Canis lupus familiaris: one gene and its partner. The protein of the gene in region 2 purifies or fractionates together with the protein of the main gene of each other region. This does not show direct contact. Links are inferred from orthologs where the notes say so. Each region holds a gene or a part of one and is shown on either strand. Other genes may lie near its edges.

What was found.
Region 1: the proteins of VTI1A (region 2) and VAMP4 purify together in Homo sapiens (affinity purification with mass spectrometry; 4 studies listed by BioGRID and IntAct, counting the BioPlex papers as one, with this or other methods). This does not show direct contact. The link is inferred for Canis lupus familiaris from reciprocal best matches to the Homo sapiens genes VTI1A and VAMP4.

What each region holds. Positions count from the first base shown.
Region 1 is NC_049228.1:27,206,140-27,210,271, forward strand, and holds the start of VAMP4 (vesicle-associated membrane protein 4), read left to right. Parts: upstream 1-1,332; coding exon 1,333-1,398; intron 1,399-4,132. UniProt on the Homo sapiens protein: Involved in the pathway that functions to remove an inhibitor (probably synaptotagmin-4) of calcium-triggered exocytosis during the maturation of secretory granules.
Region 2 is NC_049249.1:23,792,574-23,796,499, forward strand, and holds the start of VTI1A (vesicle transport through interaction with t-SNAREs homolog 1A), read left to right. Parts: upstream 1-1,126; 5' UTR 1,127-1,306; coding exon 1,307-1,400; intron 1,401-3,926. UniProt on the Homo sapiens protein: V-SNARE that mediates vesicle transport pathways through interactions with t-SNAREs on the target membrane. These interactions are proposed to mediate aspects of the specificity of vesicle trafficking and to promote fusion of the lipid bilayers.

The DNA.
Region 1 (4,132 bases), on a different chromosome or scaffold from region 2:
TCTAGAGCTGTTACTTAGGTAGCAAGATTTGATTTTTGTTACAAGTGGTTAAGTTTTTTGTTTAGAAGCATTTCTTATCAAAGAAGACTGTCAATTTGTTTCGATAGGAAACCAACTTAAAATAAATACTTTTGTTTGGTTTATGAGACTAAACTCTGGGCTAGTATATAATATTAGCCAGCGAACTGATGTCTAATTATACTTAAAGATCTTAAAGAGTTGTTTCTTCTCATGAAAAGGAAGAGAGGGCTCCTGGTTTCTAATAGGGAAGTAGTCTTTCTAGAACAGAACCTGAAAGGCAATTAGTTGAGTAAATATTAAAACCGATCATGCATAGCCATTGATTAATTTGAACCTGTGTTTCTGCTGTTTCAATCAGTAGTGTTACGTATCTTTATTAGGGCTTGGTTCTCTCTTAGTTTCTTAGTGCCTACTTTAAAGGAGTGTCATAAAAACTAAAAGAAAATACATGTAAATCCCTGAGCACAGCACCTACCACAGAGTAAAAGATTCAGTACCTTAGCTATTCGCATTTTTCATCTATCTTCTACTCCAAGATACTGAAAACTAAATTTGCATGTCAGCTTTTTCTCAAGAAAATTTGAATAAACTGCATAGTCAAGCATTTTCCTGGAAAATCACAATGCATATTAACATATAACAAGCTGAGACTTTCTGTAGCAAAAAAAATAAAACTAAAAAGCCTGTCTCTGTTTAACCCACTACTTACTTTATCCTTTTCTTGGAGTCTGGTGCTGTGCTTTAGTATAGGATGTTATAACTTACACAATATTTTTATGTATTACCTGATTTGACCATCCAAACTTCACGTGGATACCTAGAAATCACTATTTTACAGATGAAGAAACTGAATAATTGTTTAATCGACTAACTAAAAAATGTGAAAAGACAGGAGTGTTCTGCTGTCTGTTAATTCCAGGTTAAAAATTTTAAAGCATTTAATGTCTCATTTTCTCCTAATTTCTCCCCTCTCTTAAGCAATCCACTCTTGAATTTTGTAAAAACTTTTCACTAGTTTCCCCTACATGTTCTCTTTTAAAAGTTACACCTATTTTAATAGTTTTAACTATTTTTTAATGTATTGAGGCCTGGCGTGGAGGACAGGATCACGTGGAATGAAGCAAAGGCGGAAGGCGGGTAGTTTGAAGTCAGAGAAGTGAAGGAGGCTCCATTGTACAAGGCCTTGAACACTATTTAAGTAATTTATCTTGTGCCCCCAAAATCTCGAATCAGATGGAATTTATTTTTCTCTTCAAGGTGGCGAATACTTACTCTGCTGGGAAACAGAAGAGTACTTCTTGAGTAAAAAGTATGCCTCCCAAGTTCAAGCGCCACCTAAATGATGATGATGTCACTGGTTCTGTGAAAAGTGAAAGGGTGAGTTTAGAATCTTAATTTCTCAAACAGATTCAAATAAGTTTTTATTCCTTTTTCTAGTCTTTCAAAGTGAATTTTATACAAGTACAGAGCATCTTATTCAGAACTCTGGAACAGAATATGACTGGAATTCAGAGTTTTTCAGATTTTAGAAAGATAGTTAAGTGCATATTATATAATAGCCTTTTTGCATCTGGAGCAGCACCTCCAAAAATATTAGTATTTCTCGGAGAAATGTTTGATTACTGGGGGCCTGTGTGAGGCAGTCGGTTCCGCATTGGGCTCTTGGTTTCGGCTCAGGTCATGATTATCAGGGCTATGAGATCAAGCTCTGAGTCAGGCTTTGCATTGGGTGTAGAGCCTGCTTAAGTTTCTCTCTTTCCTCCTCCTCTCCCCATCTCTCCCACGCTAAAAAAAAAAAAAAAAAAAAGAAAAAAGAAAGAAATGTCTCATTGCTGTAAGTGTATAAGTAAAGCATATAAATAAATTAGCTAGCATCAATTCAGGTCAGGTTTTCCTACAAATATGTTTTGGCTTCAAACTTACGAAACCTTGATTTTCAGAACTTTTTAGATTTTTGGAATTTCAGATAAAGGATTTTAGTTCTATAATTGTCTCAGAGTCTAGAGTGTTTTTTATATAGTGTTCAATTTCTGATTTATCCCAGAACATTCTATGCAGATATGTGTACATCTAGAAGTTTTGCAGAATCTTGAAAAGATAGCATTTGAAAGGAATGTGGTAGATAGGTTACTTTTAAAATAAGTACTCAAGAAATACTTATTGAGGAAAGGAATTAGTCTTTTTCTTTTTTATCTAGCAACCTGAAGCCCTCACTCACTTCCTATCTTATTACTGTTCCTTCATTTACTGATTCATTTATTGACCACCTGCCATTGTGCTAAAAAACTGGAGGGCATAGTCTGCTTGACTTTATTTTACACATTCCTGTTTTGTACAAGCTCTGAATCTCATTATTCACTCTTTCCAACATCTTATGATGTAAAAGTGTCTTTTAGTACAATATGGGAAACATTTGTGTTTTCATTATTTTTTTTTTAAGATTTTATTTATTCATGAGAGACACAGAGAGGCAGAGAGAGAGGCAGTGGGAGAATCAGGCATCCCGTGGAGAGCCCAATCTAGAACTTGATCCCAGGACCCTGGGATCACAACCTTAGCCAAAAGCAGAGGCCCAGCCACTGAGCCACCCAGGCATCCCTGTCTTTTCCTTATTCTAACTCTCTTTGTGGTTTGTTTTTTACTTAAAGGGGTAGAATCCACCAATAGACAATTGCTAGGAAGCTTTTCAAAATAAGTTTTATGTATATACTTAAAATTAAAAATATAGTCTCAATTCCACTGCTAAGACTATAACTATGGCACTTTCTTTTTATGTTGTTGGTTGGTTACTACCACAATTTATTGTAAAAATAGGATATTGAACCAGAATTGAATAAAACTGGCTATTTAAATAGAGACCTCTTTTTGAATGTGTATTAGATGGTGAAATTTGATAACTGATTCTAATAATTTATGAATTACTTTTAAGAACTTTAAAGTGTAGTTCTACTTTTCTTTAGTAACAGCTTTATTGAGCTGTAATTCACATGCCATACAATTAACTTTTAAAGTGTACAATTCAGTGGTTTTTAGTGTATCTGCAGAATTGTGCAACTATCACCGCAGTCAACCTTAGAACATTTTCATCATTGTAAAAAAGAAATCCTGTATCTTTTAGCATTTGTCCTCCATTCTTCTCATCCTCTCAACTCTAGACAACCACCAGTCTATAGATTTGTCTACTCTGGGCATTTTATATAAATGGAATCCTACAATCTGTTGTCTCTGTAATTGGCTTTTTGGATTTAAATCATGTTTTTGAAGTTCATCCATGTTGTAACATGTGTCGGTATCCCATTCCTTTTTACTGCTGAATAATATCACAGTAAATGGATATATCACATCCATTCATCATTGTTGGACATTCAGGTTTTTTGGGAATATTAATGATTTTTTTCATACTACTTCTGGCTGTTGGCTTTTTGGCTATTTGACTGTTAAGAAGAACAGTGCTGTTGGGGTGCCTGGGTGGCACAGTTAGGCAGCCACCTCTTGGTTTTGGCTCAGGTCGTGAGATCAAGCCTTCCCGTCGGCCTCCACACTCAGCATGAAATCTGCTAAAGACTTTTTCTCCCTCTCATTCTGCCCCTTCCCCCTCCCCACATACATGCACAGTGCTTTTTCTCTCTAAAATAAATAAATCTTTAAAAAATAAAATAAAATAAATAAATAAAATAAAATAAAATAATCTTAAAAGAAAAAATAGCAGTGCTGGAGCACCTGGGTGGCTTAGTCAAGTGAGCATCTGACTCTTGATTTCAGCTCAGGTCATGATCCCAGAGTCGTGAGATTGAGTGCCACATTGGGCTCCACATGAGTTTGGGGTCTGCTTGAGATTCTCTCTTCCTCTCCCTCTGCCCTGTTCTCCCCTGACTGCCCCCAAACACTTGTATTCTCTCTCAAATAAATAAGTCTTTAAAAAAAAAAAAATAGCAGTGCTATGAACATTCAAATGCAAGTTTTGAACATGTTTCCATTTCTCTTGTTCGAACACCTAGGAGTGGGATTGCTGGGTTAGTTATGATCAATCTCTAGAAGAATTGCCAGATTGTTTTCTAAAGTGCCTGCATAATTTTTGCATTCCCATCAGCAGTGTATGTGGATTCCATTT
Region 2 (3,926 bases):
GTCGCTGAAATCCTTTTACGAAGTTTCAAACAGCCTCCAACAACCGAGGCTCGATTCGCCAGGTAGGAGGAGCCCGACACGGTCTACACGTTGGCCTGGGCTCGCGCCAAAACACCCAACTTAAGGGTCTATTTGGGCCGAAGGTTAAGAGGCGAGCCAGTGAAAGCAAAGACAGAGTGAAAGGAGGGGAGGGGACGGGCCTCGAGGAACACAGGAGGATGAACACGAAAGAAAATATTTGGGGGAAAAGAAAGAAAAACAAAACAAAACAAAACACGATGAGGAAGTGCCTCCGGAGCGAGGGACAGGAAAGGCAGGATGCAGGGCGCCGGAAGACCCGTGGAAGGGTGTGTCGGGCTGGGCAGCCGTGGATCGGCGGGAGGATCTCGGCTGCAGGGTCATAAGGGGCTTCGCGCAACAGATGCCACGGCTCGAGCCTCAATTTCCCGCCCGCGCCGCAGAACAGAGCGCTTCCAGGTTCTCGCTCGGGGACGAGCATCCCGCCCAGCGTGGTTGGTTTCAACATTCTGGAGCTTCTGGGCTCACTCGGGGGGGGGGGGGGCGGGGCGAATCACCGCCCGAATCATGATTCCATCCCTTGCCTGGACTCCCACCTCTCAGCCTGGTCCTCGGTACCCGCTCCTCGGCCATCGCATTTCCGGGGCGGCCTGGGCTCACCCGGAACGGGTCTTCTCCTCCGCCGACAACCCCGTCACGGGAAAGTCAGGCCCGCGCAAGCAGTAAAGCAGATCTCGGTTGTCCGGGGCTGCAGCGCGGAGCCCGCCGCGCCGCCAGCGCGTCTCCCCAGCCGGCGCTCCGGCCGCTGCTCTCCCGCTCCCGCCCAGTGCGCGGTCCCCGCGACAGCCACTTCCGGGAGGTTCGCCGCATCAGACTTCCCTCGGGAAGCAAGTTCCTGCGACTTAGAGCTCTATTTTCAGGAGATAGAAGGGCCAAAAAAAAAAAAAAAAGCTTCCAGTGACCCCCCCCCCCCAAGAATCCTCAGGTTTCCGAAAGCTTCTTGTTGGGGGAGGGGGGGCAGTAATAGAAGCGCTATTCTTTCGCGAATTTTTAAATCTTGAAGCCCGAGCGGACAAAAAACAACGCACCCAAGGCAAATTCCGGGGCGGGTGGGGGGGACTGTGATTGCGACGAACAACCAGGAAGCGGCCGGGTTGGGAGCTGTCCCCGGTTCTCCCCGCTCTGCTCCCGAGGCCGCCTCCCGGGGTCCTGACACCGCGTTCCTCTGTCCCGCGTGGCCCCTGCCACGACCTGGGCTCCGGCCCGGGGCCGTCACTCCGGAGCCGCCATGTCATCCGACTTCGAAGGCTACGAGCAGGACTTCGCGGTGCTCACGGCAGAGATCACCGGCAAGATTGCGAGGGTCCCCCGACTCCCACCTGGTGAGAGCCCTGACCCGGCGGGCGGGGGTGGCCCCGGGGGCGCCGAGGCTCGGGGGCGGGGCGGGGGAGCGTCTCTAAGGCGCCAGGTGGTGCCGGGGCCCTCGCGGAGCGACGCAGCTGCACTCGGCGCAGGGTTAAGGGACCGTCCGGGCTGGCTCGTGGAGCGCCGGGACGCCCCGTCCCTTGCACTACCTTGGGCACGTTTCTCGGAGTCCTCGGTTTTCGTGTTGTTTTTTTGTCTCGTTTGTGAAAGGGAGATGCGAGTTTTCAAACGGAGCGAGTGGATGCATCAAGATCATGGGTCCAAAAAAAAAAAAAAAATTGAGAAAACAACAACAACAACAACAACAACAACATGGGTCTGCGATACACAGTCCTGTTGTTTTGTTAGCAATGATAGTATCCCAGGTGGCAGAACAGGCCGGTTAAGAGCCACGGTGCCAGGGTTCGGATCCCAGCTCTGTCACTTAAAAGTCGGGGCACTTAGGAAAGTTTCTTAATTAAAAAAAAAAAAAAAAAAAAAAAAAAAAAAAAAAAACAAAGGAAAGTTTGTTAAACCTCTCTCAGCTTTCTCCTTCTTGGTCAGTAGGGGAGAGCTAGCCGTACGTCTCTCTCGTGGAGTTGTGGAGATTAAATGATTTAACATACGAAAAGCCCTGTTTTGGTGCAAGCTGCTATTAGTATCTTTCACACACCCCTCCACCCCACTTCTTATTTCTCATCCTTCTTGGGAGACCGTAACCCAATTTTCTGTAACACCTGGTACAGTTTTTCTCGCTTTAGAAATTCCACGTATCCTACCTATAAGTGTTCTTGATTTTGTTTTTGTGGGTTTTTAAATTTTTTTGATATTTTATTTATTTATTTATTTATTATTTATTTATTTATTTATTTATTTATTAATTAGAGCTATGGGCACAGGGGCAAAGGACAGAGGGAGAAGGAGAAGACTCACCCCCCGAGCAGGGAGCCGCCTGCCAAAGGGCTCCATCCCAGGACCTGGGATCATGACCTGAGTTGAAGGCAGACACTTAACCAGCTGAGCCACCCAGGCTCCCCTTGTTTTTGTGTTTTAGCATGACTTACTTTCCATGCTCAACTGTCAACTTGGCATTTACCTAGAAAGGGCTCAGAAAAAATGTTAAAGTAAATGAACCGATGAATATGATATTTGGTAATTTTTTTTTGTTATGTGAGACACTGGTTTAGGATTTATCTTTCCCTAAATACAGATTTAACTTGAGTGGTTAGCTACAGATAGGATTACTACTTTTAGCTTAGTTTTGTTAAGGAAATTGAACCATCGTCTGGATTTGGGCCTACCTGGCTCTGGGGTGTAGTGCGTAGAAAAGGGGATGCTCACTGATCTGTGAACTGGTGGGCAGCTTCCTGTTTCCCACCTCCTTAGTCAATCCTTGATGTCAGCAGTAATCTCTGCAGGACCTAAGTTGACATTCCTATTTCCCTTTCCCTACTTCCCCCAAACGTGCGTGTTTATAAATAATTTTCTTCCTTTATTTGTTTTTCTTTCCCCTTCCCTCACCTATTTTCTATTAATAGGGACATTTGCTTGAAACCAGGATCTCTGAACTTACACCCCACTCATCTCCTGAAGTCCCAGTTAGTTCTGGAGAGGTGGATGATGTCTTAAAGAGGTTTATGAGCCCAAGTGAGGGAACAGGAGGAGAAAACCAAGGTAGCATATATCACCGAGCTCTGCTGCCTCAGAGATTTTTGTGGAGAAAATAGCTGATGGCCTCATCACTTCATGATACATCACCTCGCCTCTTCTCTTCAGTTCTGCCTTTCTCCACTGCCCAAGACCATCTTGATTTTTATTATCCTTGTTGCTGGAGACTACTTCCTTTGACTTGAGTCCCAGAGTTTCAGGACTTGTGATTTTAGTTGGATTTTTGTTCATTTTTAATTGTAACAGTTTTAAAAGAGAAGCATTTTCTATTTGGGCTAATAGATTTTTGTACTGGGAAGATGTTTTATATAAAGTAACAAAGTCATCCATGGGTGCAAAGTTGTAAAACCTGTTTCTAAGAAAACAGATTTTGTTACAATTGATTTTTTTTTCTTGTCTTTATGTTTTAATGTAACTATTCTTACTATATAGAAGGAAACCTTTAAGTGCCTTAAAAATAAAGGCTTGACTTGGCCTTGCATATGGTATAATGTAAAGCCCAAACATAGGAGCTCCAGTGGAATTGAAAGAAGACTGTTTAGCTGGCAATGGAAAAATGCTTACTGATTTGACTAATTGAATGACAGTAATTCTTTAAAAATGTAGTAGTTTCCCTGTTAATAGTTACTTATGCTTGCTCCCTTTATAATCTGTTTCTAATTGATAAATAGAAAAGGATGAATGAAAAGTATATCCATGTCGTTATGCATTTCAGATATAGGTCTGTGGACTAACAATATGTACCACTATTTAAAAAGTATAATTAAAAGTAATTATAATCTCTTTCTGAATAGCATTAGTGGTTGATCTAGAGGAGATAAACTATAATTTACTTG